Elephas maximus indicus: one gene and its partner. The protein of the gene in region 1 purifies or fractionates together with the protein of each later gene. This does not show direct contact. Links are inferred from orthologs where the notes say so. Each region holds a gene or a part of one and is shown on either strand. Other genes may lie near its edges.

Evidence for each region. Proteins that work in one complex are often made in the same cells at the same time.
Region 2: the proteins of NAPA (region 1) and STX5 purify together in Homo sapiens (affinity purification with mass spectrometry; 3 studies listed by BioGRID and IntAct, with this or other methods). This does not show direct contact. The link is inferred for Elephas maximus indicus from reciprocal best matches to the Homo sapiens genes NAPA and STX5.

Annotation. Positions count from the first base shown.
Region 1 is NC_064829.1:101,403,293-101,411,005, reverse strand, and holds the start of NAPA (alpha-soluble NSF attachment protein), read right to left. Parts: upstream 3,017-7,713; 5' UTR 2,836-3,016; coding exon 2,738-2,835; intron 1-2,737. UniProt on the Homo sapiens protein: Required for vesicular transport between the endoplasmic reticulum and the Golgi apparatus. Together with GNA12 promotes CDH5 localization to plasma membrane.
Region 2 is NC_064825.1:125,978,751-125,985,633, reverse strand, and holds the start of STX5 (syntaxin-5), read left to right. Parts: upstream 1-4,000; 5' UTR 4,001-4,004; intron 4,005-4,225; exon of another isoform or gene 4,226-4,581; intron 4,582-4,670; 5' UTR 4,671-4,689; coding exon 4,690-4,914; intron 4,915-5,907; coding exon 5,908-5,978; intron 5,979-6,146; coding exon 6,147-6,202; intron 6,203-6,318; coding exon 6,319-6,389; intron 6,390-6,883. Other genes in the region: WDR74 (WD repeat-containing protein 74), read left to right, coding at 1,333-1,433, 1,525-1,580, 1,898-2,043, 2,181-2,237, 2,775-2,951. UniProt on the Homo sapiens protein: Mediates endoplasmic reticulum to Golgi transport.

The DNA of each region.
Region 1 (7,713 bases):
TTGGGCTCCAGGAGGTCCAGCTCACTCCTCACAAATAGCCTTCCTCCAGTTCATACTCTCATCTCAGAACTTCCCCGAACAACATAATCTACCCCTTGTTTCCCCATACAAGTTCACTTTGATCACAATTCGCCAGTGTTCATCTTGCCTTAAAGAGCCCTGGTGACACAACAATTAAGTTACTAGCTGAAAGGTTGGCAAATTCGAATCTACCAGCCGCTCTGTGGGAGAAAAGACCTGGGTAAAGATTTCAGCCTAGGAAACCCAATGGGCAGCTCTATGAGTTGGAAAAGACTCAAGGGCACCCAGGCAGGCTGCAAGTGCCTCAAGGGCTCTGATCTCGCTGGCCTAGCTGCTCCCTCCAAGCACAACCCAAGAGCCCCCGATTCCTAGTCAGAAGGGACCAGACACCCAGAACCACCCAGGAAAACTACTACCTGAAACTGAGCTCTTGGCCCCACCCCAATACATTGCACTTGAACTTCTCCCCTTGTGAAGGAAGAAAAACACAAACACTCTCTCTCCCCTCTCAGCTTCTAAAACAACATTCTTTGCGTAATCAATATGACCCATCAGTCCTGGCTGTCTCCTCACACCACTTTCCTCCAGTCCGTTTGCTGCACATTTTCCAATCTCAAATAACAAGGGAGGGCTCCTTCCACCATCTCCTCTCTCAAAAGAACTTACTCTTATTTCTTACTAACCCCTGCTGGGCTCCTAACACAATCTCTTCTAGCCCCCAGGTCCTCCTCCTAAACCCCATTTCCTAGCCTTCTGGGGGTTCTCCAGCCTTACAGCCCTCCCTGGTCCCTGCCTCTCTTGAGTTCTCTGAGTCCATGCCCACCCCGACCTGCAGTTCTTCCTCTTTGTTGTTGGCTGTCATGGAGTCCATTCCCACTCATGCTGATCCCACGCGTGCAGAGCAGAACTATTCCATCGGGTTTTCAAGGCTCCGACCTTTCAGAAGCAGATCGCCAGGCTTGACTACTGAGGTGCCTCTGGGTGGGTTCAAACTGCCAACCTTTTAGCTAGTAAACCATTTAACCATTTGAGCCACCTGGGGACTCCTTCCTAACTCTCTGTTGTTATTAGATGCCCTCAAGTTGATTTCAACTCATTGTGACTCCAAGTGACAGATCAGAACTGCCCCACAGGGTTTCCTTGGCAGTAATCTTTAAGGGAGGTGACTGTCAGGCCTTTCTGCCACGGAGCTGCTGGGTGGGTTTGAACCGCCAACCCTGCAGTTAGCAGCCAAGCACTTCCTCTCCTAGTCTTCCTCACAGTCCTGACAGCTTCCCCTTCACCCTTTCCAGTCCCTCCCTCAGCACCCCCTCCTCTAGTCCTCCAGGGATCCCTACTTCTTCTGCCCAGAGCCCTCTAACCCTGCAGACCCCCTGGCCCGGAGCCATTTCCCCCCTCCTTCTCTCCTCCTCTTTATCACACTTAGGCTTTTTCCCCCTCAGATCCCTCCTCACTCCTCCCAGACCTCTCCCTTCAGGCTCAGGCCTTAACCCCACCAGCCCCCCTACAGGCTCCAAGCCTGTCTCCTCACATGTAGCAACATTAACAACAACCAACACTTTCCAAGCTTTAACTGCATTCCAGGCTTGCACTTACACACGCTCACAGCAAACCTCTGAGGTGGGCTTTATGAGTGATCCCCTTTAAAAGGGAAGTTCAACAACTTTACTTACTCAGCATCCCAAAGTAAGGGGTAGAATCAAACTTCAAACCTGGCCTTTATGACACCCGAAAACCACCAAGATTTCTCAAAGGATGTCGTCAGGACTACTTTCAAGACTTAATAAATTTTACGTGAAATATCCATCATGTCACAGGTGTCAGTTCTGCCTCACAGGCCCCTTTCAGGTCCTCTTCACACCCCGCACCCGCCACTGTCCCCAGACCTCCCCATCCTTACTCAATGATCACAAAGCAGCCTTAACACACCTCCCTTCGGTTCTTCAGTTTCCTCATGTCTCCCTTTGATCCCTCAATCTCAGCCAAGCCGGCATCACCCATTCCCTCACCACACATTCCTCTCCAGCTTCTGAGCTCAGGCCTCCTACATCATCCCCAGGGACTCCTCCACTTGGGTTCCACTCCAGGCTAAGATACTCTTAAGACTGGTCACCACCCCAGGCACTTTGCACACCTTGACTTGGGCTCACCACTCTCAGGATCCCCGGAGCCCTGATACCCTCGGCCTGGTGTCTGATTCCTCGGTCCTCACCCTTCACCCAGGGTCCACACAAATCCACTTTCGCGGGCCTCGGAAATGTCAACACCTCGGGCAAGTGGCTTCAGCCCCAGGCCTCATCAAGGATCCTTGAAATAGGTTCTCCTAGAGCTCCGAAAGACTCCTTAACCTAGCTGCCGCAACCTCTCAGGCCAAGCCCCTTTCAAGGCCTCGGCCCATGTTCTCCTCCAGCCCCTTGGCCCGTCTTGGATGTAAGTTCCCCTAGCCGCCTCAAGATGGTGTCGCCTCGGCTAGTGTCTTCTCAGCCCAGGTCCCCTCCGCCGTCCCACTGTCTCTGCTCACGCCCTGTCGCCAAGGTCTGGGCCCCTTGGCCCTCAAGCCTGTGTCCCCCCGCTGCCTTGGATCATGTCTCCTCATCCCGGAACCCCCTCCGTCCTCTTGGGCCGAACCCTTTGTGCCTGCCCCGCCGCTTCAGGCCGTAACTCCTTCGGCCCGTCACTCAGCCTAGGTTCCGCCGGCCCGCGGCCCGGTTCTTACCCAAAGAGGCCAGAAAAGAAGGACTGCGAGTTCTTCACCTTGCGCTCCGCTTCGGCCAGTAGCGCTATCGCCTCCGCTTCCTTCCCGGAGTTGTCCATGGCGGACGCAAAGGGACTCAGCAAACTGTCCGAACCGGGCCCTGGGAAGACTCTGCCCTGGCCCGGCCGCAGAAGACAGGTCCGGGGAGCTTAGCGAGCTGCGTTGACGTCGCACCGGCGCGCGCCGCCGGCCGCCCAGCACCATGTGACTTACGCCGACCAACCAACAGCCTCGTGACAAGGTGCGCGCCCCACCGGCCACGCCCCCGCCAGCCTCCGCGTACCGACCAATGAGCCGCAAACTCCAATCTGCATCTGCAAGACTTAGACGCGTACGCACAGCAGCTTACGGCAGTCTCACTGCCCACGTGACTCGGCCTAAGCCAATCCAAATCCTCGCCGTGAAGATCCGCCCCCAGGGCGCCACCTTCCTGGTTCTTACTCCACCAATTATCAGCTGCCCTCGCTAGGGCCCGCCCCTCCTTATGGACCTTGAGCACTGGTCAGCTGACGGCCGACCCTCACGTGACAGTCGACTGGCGCAGAGCTTAGTACCGCCGCATATGTGCTTATCTCCCGCGGTTCTCTTCCAATTGGAAGGGCGTGTGTGGTAAAAAAGAAAACATTCTGCCTTTTCATGCGCCCTCTGCCGACGACCGCTGAAACTGGTGGGCGGGGGGAGGCTAGGAAAGTACTCCAAAGACCGGAAACAGAACTTTGAGAACAGAGGTTCTCTAACTCTACTTGCTTAAGAAGTTGAACAGTTATGTGAAGTGTGTACAACAGGCAAATGTACAGACACCAGTGATTGCCAGAGGCTGGGGGGAGGGCTGAGTGGGTACGGTTTGGGATAATGAAAGTTGTGGATACAGTGGTGATAGTTATATAACATTGTGAATGTAGTTATATAACTGAATTCTACACTTAAAATGGCTAAAAATAGCAAACTTTGTGTTAACGTATTTTACCACGGTAAGTTTTAGGTTCACGCACACTACGCCCTAGATCTTGGTTTCTACCACCGTACTGCAATAAGGGAACGAGGGGCAGAGCATTATGCAGATGGGCCCAGAGCATCTTGTAGTGCCAGAGTGTAAGGCAGTGCTAAAACGAAAACAAAACACACGCACAGTGCTGGGGGGAGGTCAAAGGGGCACTGGAGCAGGGCTCCCAGTGGCCACAGCTGGAGCAATTTGAGTAACAAGTAGTATTGGATTATAACTCCAAGTATAAAATCATCACAAGTTCACCACCACCATCAGTAGCCATTCAGTTGACAGACTCCTGGCGACCCCAACTGTTGGTGACCCCATTGTGTTAGAGTAGAATTGTGCTCCACAGTTTTCAGTGGCAGAGTTTCCGGAAGAAGACTGCCAGGCTTTTCTTTTGAAGTGCCTCTGGGTGAGCCGGAACCTCTAACCTTCTGGCTAGCAGCGGAGTGCGTTAACCATCAGCATCATCCAGGGAGACTGATACAGATTTTTAAATGATCGAATAAATAAATGGGGGAAAACAGACAAATTTCCTAGGCAGAAGAATTCCAAATAATTTATGTAGATACCCCACCCTCACGGAGGTGGAGCATAACTCCTCATTCCTTAAGTGTGGGCTGCATATAATAACTTCCTTCCAAAGTGTACGGTATGGAAAGGATAGGGAAAAAAAAAAAAGAGTAACTTTATAGTGCAGAAACACTGCCTCAGCCAGGTGATCAAGGTCAACATCAACAGTGATAAGTTATGTTGACAGCATATACCCTTGATATGATGTAATGAAAATGGCACTTTCCCTCTCGTCTTCTTCCCTAAAACCCATAACCCCATGTCTAATCAGGAGAAAAACATGAGACAAATCCCAATTTCTAGAAAATACCTGACTAGTACTCCCCAAAACTGTCAATCTCTGAAAACAAGGAAGTCTGAGAAACTGTCACACCCAAGAAGAGCTTAAGGAGACATGACAACTAAATGTGATGGGATGCGCTGGATGGAATCTTGGAACAGAAAAAGGACACTCAAAGCCACTGCCGTTGAGACGATTCCCACTCATGGTGACCCTATATGGCAGAGCAGAACTGCCCCATAGGGTTTCCAAGTCTATAGTATTTATGGAAGTAAACTGCCACATCTTTTTCCCGCAGAGCGGCTGGTGGGTTTGAACCAACAACCTTTAGGTTAGCAGCTGAACACTTAACCACTGGGCCACCAGGGCTGGTCAAAAAGGACATTAAGCTAAGGACATCTGAATAAAGTACTCTGTTAAGTGCCATCAAGTCAGTTCCAACTCATTGTGACCCGATGTACAACAGAACAAAACATTGCCCAGTCCTGCGCCATCCTCGCAATCGTTGCTACCTTTGAGCCCACTGTTGCTGCCACTGTGTCAGTTCTTCTCATTGAGGGGCTTCCTCTTTTTTGCTGACCCTCTACTTTACCAAACATGATGTCCTTCTCCAAGGAGTAGTCCCTCCTGATAACATGTCCAAAGTACATGAGACAAAGTCTTGCCATCCTCACTTCTAAGGAACATTCTGGATGTACAGATTTAGTTCATTCCTCTGGCAGTTGACAGCATATTCAACATTCTTCACCAACACCATAATTCAAATGCATCAATTTTTTTCAGCCTTCCTTATTCATCATCCAGCTTTCACAGGCGTATGAGGCTATTGAAAATACCACAGCTTGAGTCAGGTGCACCTTAATCCTCACAGGTGACATCTCTGCATCTTAACACTTTAAAGAGGTCTTCTGCAGATGTGCCCAATGCAATATATCCTTTGATTTCCTGACTGCTGCTTCCATGGGTGTTGGACAAAGTATGGACTTTAGTTAATAATAATGTATCAATATTGGTTCATTGATTGTAACAAGTGTACCATAACCACGTAAGATGTTAATAATAGGGAAATGGGTGTTGGGTATATGAGAACTTTCTGTATGATCTTTGCAATTTTTTCTATAAATCTAAACGGTTCTAAAATTCAAAGTTCATTTTAAAAATTCAGGTTTCAAGGCTCTGCCCCCACCTGATTCAGATTCTGAAAGCCTGTGGCAGGACACAGGAGTCTGCGTTTTTTCCCACAAGCTCCCAGATGACTTGGTTGCAGACAATCCGGGAACCACTGTTTGAGAAAATGCTGTTTGGGGTTTGGCTGAGCAGAGTTTAAGGCACAAGAAACCTCCGCCCCACTCTTTTCTTAAACAGGCTCTCCTGGACCACCCACAGGTGGCTGCCACTGTATGCTGACCACAAATTGGGTGGGGTGATTCTGAACTACCACCAGTAATTTTGGTTCCGTGTCCATCAAAGCGGCACTATTCTAAGAGCTCCCATGTGTTTTAACTGTTAAGTTGCAGGGTAATTTGTTGTGCAATAATAGAAAACTAATATACCCACGGTTGCTGTCAAGTCAATTCTAACTCATAGCAATCCTACAGGGCAGAGTAAAACTGCCCCATGGGGTTTCCAAGGCTGTACACTTTGCAGAAGCAGACTGCCACATCTTTCTCCCACAAAGTGGCTGATGGGTTTGAACCGCCAACCTTTAGGTTAGCAGCTGAGTGCTTAACCACTGCACCACCAGGGCTCCTGATAACTAATACACCACCCCCAACCCTTTTAGCCAAAGACATTTCCAGAGCCATGGAGTTTGACTTGCTGTTTAAGCTGTGACCCGGGCAATTATAGCAATACCACGAGTGTTTGTTCAACGGGAGCTAAGTTTATATGGTGCACCCTGCCACACACTTAATTTATGTTTTCTCATTTAACAGATACATGGCAGATGGCGGTATGCATCTTTCATCCCATTTTACAGATGAGAAAAATGAGGCCCACACAGGGCAAATGACTTGTCCACAGTTATGATGAACGAAGAGGAGCCAGGATGCAAATTCAGGTTCACCTGATGCCTGGGATCCTTCCCTTAACCATGGAGCCCCAACTGCTTTAAACCACTTCCTCCTCTGCTCTTCCCACTCTTGAGCACTTAGCTGTAAATGCTGCCCCTCTGTGAACCATCTGACACCACCCTCTGCCCTGCTCAGAATACAGCAGTTGTAGACACAATCACACTGCGATGCCATCGCCAGCTCTGCTGCTCTTTACCATCTTGGCTGATGGCACATACTTAGCTGCTGAAGCCCCAAACCTGCACAGCAGGCTTGACTCTGCCCTTTTCCTACCAACTCTCCCCATGATGTGCAACCTGTCAACAAGTCTGCAGAGTCCAGCTCCGAAAGGCATCCCTAGTCTGTGGGCTTCTTTTCCTCTGCACTGCTACCCTCACCCCCACACTCCCAGCCCAGGCCACCAGCATTTTTTACCTTAGAGTCTTCTATCCAATCTCTGGCTTCCACTCTTGTTCCGTACAGCCCATTCTTTATAGCTGTCAGAGAACGTTTTTTAAAAGGTACTGCTGTTCTCAGCTGCTGTTAAGTCGGCCCCCATTCTCATGGCGACCCCACGCACAGTGGAACGAAAAGCTGCCCAGTCCTGCACCACCCCCATGAGTGATGGTCATTCAGACTATTGTGATTCATAGGGTTTTCCTAAGTAGATTCCCAGGCCTTTCTTCCTAGTCTATCTTAGGAAGCAATGCTGAATCCTGTTCAGCGTCGGAGCAATGCAGAAGCCTCCACTGACGGATGGGTATTGGTTCTACGTGAGGTACTTTGGCCAGGAATGGAGCCCAGGTCTCTGTCATGGCAGGCAAGAACTCTACCACTGAGGAACCACTGCCCCGGTACTTGCTGTAGTAGGTGCTTAATAAATGCTTGCTGAATGAATGTACGAGTTAATCTGTCCAGCTCCCCCCGCCCCAAGCCACCAGCTCCCCCAGGGCAGGGACTCATTTTTCTGTTCTCTGTCACGCTGGCACGCGCCAGGGCTCAAGGCCCTTGTGGGATCAACAGGCCAGGGAAACCAGAAGATAGC
Region 2 (6,883 bases), on another chromosome or scaffold:
TCAGCCCTGTCCATTTATGCTTCTAAGTAAGCTTGTACCTCAGTTTTCACAATCCTGCTAAAAAAATGTTCTAGTAGCGCCTGAAGTCCTCTAACTTCAGGAGGAGGAGACAGAATCACCATCAGCCCAAAGCTGATTCCTATGAGGTGGAGGTCAAACATACCCCCCTCTCCAACTTCTTTACCATTTCCGACACCAGCCAACCGCATCCCCTCTTGCCCCCATGGCGCACTCTGCTTCTCTGCGGGGTTCCGTAAGTCATTGGAACAGCCACACAACTCAGGCCATACTTACAGTTAAGTGGTTTACTAAGGAAGTAACAGGATATCAGAATCAACAGGCTGCAACTTAGGATCAGGATCCGGAAGCATGTAAGCAAAGTCTAAAAGACGCCCCTGAGGTGGAAGGCACATCACTCCCTTCTTCAGTGTAAATAGCTCCCGGCGCCTCTTGGCCATGCAAGCAAGCAGGCCCTTCTCTCTGCCATACACGCCCCCTCAGCCATGCACGCCTCTTTGCCTTTGGCCACCCTGCTGTCAGCCTCTCTGCTGCTAACTGATCCAGCTTATAGCCAGTGTAAAAGCTTTGTTCAGCTTAGCTGCATTCCTAGCTGAAGGTTTCTGCTGTCATTTTCAACTCTCCCCCAGGGCCAACCTGGGCCTGTTGCCACTGGCTGTGTCGCAAGACCCCTTCTGGGCTTCTTGATGCCTTCAGTGTTACAGGCCTTCACCTGTGTTACAGCTCTTTTAGGAGGTTCCTCGCCTCCTGTCTGCTGCTTCTCTCTTGCCTGTCTTGTCTTTTCTCCCTTCTGAAACCTCTGTGGGTTTGGCCACTTATATAAGCAAACTCCTTATCAGTTTCAAGGTATGGCCCTCCCGGCAGGGCCACAGACTAACCAATCCCCTTTGTGGACCATAGTCATTTGATTTGCATAGTCTGTAGTCACTTGATTTGCATAGTATATTGATCAGTCCTTACAAGGTGCATACCTATCACAGGATAGGCTACAGCCCAGGACCAGACAAGAAGTATCAAACCAAGCCGTTTACAGTTTACCCAGGAAATGTTAGTCAACATGGACAGAAGTAGCAAACCCTTAGGTAGAAAACCAGGGCAAAGGTAACCCCTCAGGGCTTAGTGGAAAAATCTCAAGCTGTTTTTCCTAAGAACCAAGGCAAAAGGCCACATAAAGGAACTTATTTCACCACACCTGCCCACCTCACAGGTTGGTCTGAGACTGGGTCATAAACAAACAGCACAGGAAGATGTGGAGAAGCCCAAGGAGGGTGTGCGGGCTGAGGGTACTCTTATGATGACTCAGTCTTCCTCCAGGTCCGTGTCTATGATCCAGCCTCCCCCCAGCGCCGGCCAGTCCTTGAGGCCACCTATGGAGAATATCCGCTGACAGCCATGACCCTCACTCCTGAGGGCAAGTAAGTGCCTGGAGGGGTAAAGGTGGGTGGCGGGGGCTCAGGGACGGCTCCGGGAGGTTCCTGCTGACGCACTTGCTTCTGGTCTCTTCAGTTCGGTGATTGTGGGGAACACGCATGGGCAGCTGGCAGAAATTGACCTTCGGCAAGGTAAGTGGACTAGAGGGTGAGGGTGGGGAAGAAGGCAGAATTCCTTCTGAGGCAATGCAATGGAGTGGTTGTTAGCTCTGTTCAGGTGCCACATTGCCTGGGTTCAAATCCTGTTTTCACCAAAAGCTGCTGGCCTTGCCAAATTACTTCAACTCTCTGTGCCTCAGTTTCCTCACGTGTAACATGGAGATATTACTGGTAATTCCTGTCTCTGAGTTACATTGAGGACTAAATGTTGAGATGTAAAGTGATCAGAACAGCAAACAATACGTGGTTGTTGGCTGGCCAGCTAACACTGATACCCCTGCTGTCCCCAGGGCGCCTCCTAGGCTGTCTAAAGGGGCTGGCAGGCAGTGTCCGAGCGTTGCAGTGCCACCCTTCAAAGCCCCTGTTAGCCTCCTGCGGCCTGGATAGAGTCTTGAGGGTGCACAGGATACGGAACCCACGGGGTCTGGAGCATAAGGTGAGAGCCCGAACCTTTGAGCCTTGCCCGTTCTGCCTAGTTCACAGTTCCTGGAGCCCACTGGCACCTGTGCCCCCATTCATTTTTCCATCTACTTCAGCATGCCTGGGCTCCTTAAGTCCCCTCATCTTTTGCAGGTTTATCTCAAGTCTCGGCTGAATTGCCTCCTTCTGTCGGGCAGGGACAACTGGGAGGTGAGCTACTGGATCTGGGAATGTGAGAGCAAAGGGCATGTATGTGAGGATTTCCCTCAGAGAGAAAAAAGTGGCAGCTGGAACCCAGATCTGGAGCTGTCCACTTGCCTGCCAGATTATTTCATTTCTCTGACAGGTTTTAATAGTCAGCCCTGACAAAGTTATTGCCAAGAGTGACATGTCTAAAAGCATGGACCGAATTGGTGTCCCGGGTGCAGAAAATAAAGATGATGGTGGTGGTGGGATTATCTTCCCACTAGGGCTTCCACAGAGGAGCCTTGGTGGCACAGTGATTAAGCACTGCGCTGCTAACCAAAAGTTCAGTGGTTCAAACCCACCAGCCACTCCTCAGGAGAAACGTGTGGCAATCTACTGTAAAGATTACAGCCTTGGAAAGCCTATGGCAGTTCTGCTCTGTCCTCTGGGGTCGGTATGAACTGCAATCAACTGGTTGGAATGGGTTTAGTTTTGGCTTAGGGCCTCCTTGTGGGTCTGTTACTTTGCCCCTGATTCTTCAGCTTTCCTCCCGTTCACCAGGATGAGCCCCAAGAGCCTGAAGAACCCGACAGGGTGTCCCCAGAAGACACAGAGACGGATGAACTTTGGGCTTCCTTGGAGGCGGCTGCAAAGCGGAAGCTCCCTAATTTCAAGCAGAGCCAAGGGGCCCAACAAGCCAGGCAAAGAAAGAAGAGACCTAGATCCACCAGTCCCTGAAAACCCTGTACCCACTTTGTAAATAAACATCCCAGCACCCGCCATGACCTGAGCCTTTTGTGATGGGAGAAAGGGAAGAAGTGGCTTGGGATAGGAGAGCTGGGGCGGCACGATTTCTGACGTCACAAAAGCCGGCGAAGGGCCCGCGGGGCGGGCGGGTGGGCTGGCGGGGCTGGCACGGAGTGCGGGCCGCGGGGGGCCATGGGCTGCTGCCAAGACAAGGACTCCGATGAGGCCACCAGGGAGGCCGACTCCGTGGAAGGTGGGAGCAGAGATGCAGAAGAGGGGGACAGGCACGGGCGCGGGAGAGGAGGCTGCCCCAGCGGTATGGCCAGGGAGGTTGGACAGGGGATGGTAAAGCAAAGCTCAGCGGCCTCGTGGACCCCCTAGGCACCGAAGGGACTGATGCCACGGACGCCCCGAGCCGCCGGAATCGCAAGTCGAGCGAAAGCCTTCTGATCACTGTGCTGTGGCGGCGGCTATCCCTGTTCAGCCGTCGGGGCTCCTCACGGTCGAACAAGAAGCATTCAGGCCAGAGTCAAAAGCCGGGGAGTCAGAAGGCGGAGAACGCCCCGGAGAGGATCCAGGAGGAGTCAGAAAAGGGGTGACCCCAGACCTGCTCTCAGTTCGCCCCAGCCTCCAGAGAATAAAATTTCTAACGCGGACTTGCGCGAGCGCTTACTCTCCACTGCCACTTTCGGAGCACCGGGCGACGGCACCACTGGGGCTGCGGGCTCTTTAAGACTCCTACCCTAAGGTTGGCCTAGCCCCCCGGTGCTCAAGGGCTCCCTCCTCTGGGGCGGGGTCACGGTATCGGCCTAGCCAATGGGACGGTGAGGTCACGCCTACGCTCGGGCAGGGGCGTGTCTGCCGGGTCGCCGGGCTTGGAAAAGCGTGGCGCCGCGCTGTCGTCACCAGGGGCGGGGTTACGTGTGGGTGACGTGGCGGCTTCCAATCTTTGGCCGGGTTTCGGCGGCTTCTGCTCTCGGGGAGGAGGCAGTGACGGCCCAGGAGACTGTGGCATAGGCAGCGGCGGCCGGCGGCAGTGAGGAGGTAGGATTCGCTTTAAGAGGGGGTCCGGTCGCCGTGTCAGCTCCGGGACAGCGGCTCTCTGGGGGCGGCGACGGGGGGGAGGGGAACAGGGGACGAGCCGGCAAGTCTTGCCGGCCCGGGGGGGGGGGCGGTGAGCGAATGCTTGACCGTCCAATCAGGAACGTTCCTGTTGAGAAAGACGTCGATATTAGCTAATCAGTGGTTGCAATCCTCCAGGAGGCGGAACTTGGGCGGGGGGTGGGACTTCCTGTTTCAAATAAACACTTAGAGATTCCCCCCTCCGCCCACCGAAGTGTGTCCCGGTCAGGAAGTCCGTCACCGTTTCCCCCTGAGGAGTTTAAGGAGCCCAGGGGTACGGGACGGCCCAGTTAAGGCCTGGGGCAGCTGCACCTGCCGAGCTGTAGCCTCAGGGCCACGGGACGTGGCTCTGGCCCTGGCTGCGCTCAGGGCCCCAGGCCCGCGCCCTGGCCGACCGAGCCAAGTTGGAAGAAGGGTCTGAGGAGGGGACAACTTGAGCCGGGAAGGAAGCGGGGCCTTCCCTCTGCGGGCCGGCCTTGGGCGCGAAAGTCCGTGCCAGGTGCAGAAAGGGCCGGAGGATTTGCTGGTCGGGGGGAACTTGTGGGGATGGAGGCTGCCTGGGGAATGACACTCTGCCCTCCACAACAGTCCGAGGTTATGCGTCTCAATGATCCCGCGGAAACGCTACGGATCTAAGAACACGGATCAGGGTGTCTACCTGGGTCTCTCAAAGACACAGGTCCTGTCCCCTGCAACTGCTGGCAGTGGCAGCAGCGACATCGCCCCTCTGCCCCCCCCAGTGGCCCTAGTCCCTCCCCCTCCCGACGCCATGTCCTGCCGGGACCGGACCCAAGAGTTCCTGTCTGCTTGCAAGTCCCTGCAGAGCCGTCAGGTAAGGACCTGGAGTGGGAAAGGCGAGAGGTGAGCCGTAGTCGGTGGGGAAGTGGGCTGCAGCACTGTTTGCTGAAGTAGTTCTTGGGGGATCCTTATGGCAGGCTCATGTGTGGGGCTGTGGGATCTACTAAGCAGCAGAGAAGATGCAGGTTAGCTAACTGGAGGCAAGGACCTTGACTTCTGTGAAGAACCCCCTGAGGGTAGGGCTGTTGTTCTGGGAGGAATCCCTCAGGGCCAGAGGTGGCTGCACTGTATTTGATTTGGATAAGTAACAGGCTCTAGCAATACGCTTTAGCTGGGAGGCATGCACCTTGAATTCTGGTTCCCACGTAGTTCTAACAGAAGTTTGTTTTGTGACCGTGAGGAAGTTAATTACTATTTGGACCTCAGTTTTTCTGTCATTAAAATGAGAGAAGTTTTCTAGATCAGTGATTTTTGTCAGAATTGCTTTAGAGTGTCTTTTAAAAGGCAAATTCGTTTGTCTAAGTCCAGATTCCTAAATCCAAGTGGGATCTGGGTAACTATTTTTAAGTATATTTCGTGTTCAGCTCTTGCTAATAGCTGCTCATCCACATGATCTCCAAACCTTCTAGTTATACTTCTCTTTTGATTCTGAGAATAGAATGGCAGTACCAGCTACCAGTTTAGTATTTATAATATGCTCAATATTTGTCTAAAATACTTTACAGCTTTTTTGTCATTTAGTTTCAGTAACAATAATAGGAGATAGGTGAATTGTTTTCCTTTTAGAGTAGAGGAAACAAAGACTCAAAATGGTTTAAGTCTCTCAGCTAATAAGTGAGAGTCAAGCTTTGAACCCAGATCTACTTGTCTTTAATCTGAGCTCTTAAACTACTACTGCTGGTAAATCTAGGCTATCTGATTAAGGAGCTCATCACTAGAAGGAGTTTAGTGGGCATCTGAGGAGCAGTAAAGTCTGGAAATGAGGAAGGGAGAGCTAAAGTTGTCACCTCCTGACATTGCTTTTCAGAATGGAATCCAAACGAACAAGCCAGCTCTGCGTGCTGTCCGGCAGCGCAGTGAATTCACCCTCATGGCCAAGTGAGTCGAGAGAAGCGGTGTGGTGGTACGCTCTTGTGTCTGAGCAGAAGTGGGCTTGCCTTTGATAGGCTTGGCTGTGAGGACTGGGATTGGCTGTGCTGGAGCTGATGCGGGAATAGGCACTCTCCTGCCCTTTCTTACAGTGCTCTCACTAATGCTCATTTGCAGGCGCATTGGGAAAGATCTCAGCAACACATTTGCCAAGCTGGAGAAGCTGACAATCTGTGAGTGTTTTGGGGGACCCTTTTGTGGTGGGGCAATGAACCAAAGACATTGGGGAGCCTTACTCTGAGTCCTGTTTCTGACCTCACCTGTTGTGGGTTCTCACTTGTCCCTGCAGTGGCAAAGCGCAAGTCCCTCTTTGATGATAAAGCAGTGGAAATCGAGGAGCTGACATACATCATCAAACAGGTGAGCTACTAGCCATCGGTCAGATCACTTCCATCATTTTCCATTGCTGTGGAAGCCCAGAGCAAGTTTCTAGAGCCAGCCCCAAGCATCCTACTCATCCATTGAGCCAGTAGATACTTTTGGATAACCTACAAGGTACAAAGGATTATGCTGGGCACTGGTGACAAAAACATGAGACAAGATTCCTTATTCCTTATTCAGGCTTATTGTCTAGAAGAGGTATCCAGCCCCATGAACCCATACTTACAGTGAGTAGGAGTCAAGTGGTACAGAAAAGAGCTTACAAAAAGATCAGTGAGACCCGTTGGGGGTGCTGGGAAGGATTTTATAGCAGAGATGAAATCTGAACTGGTTTCAAGTCTTGTGTAGCAGCAGTGGAAGGACATTCCAGACAGAGAAAACTGTGTATACAGAGGCATGGCTTAAAAAGGGAAAGTTCAGGAATAAGACATGCCTTCCAGTTTTTGCTCAGACGTTATCTGCTCACGAATGCC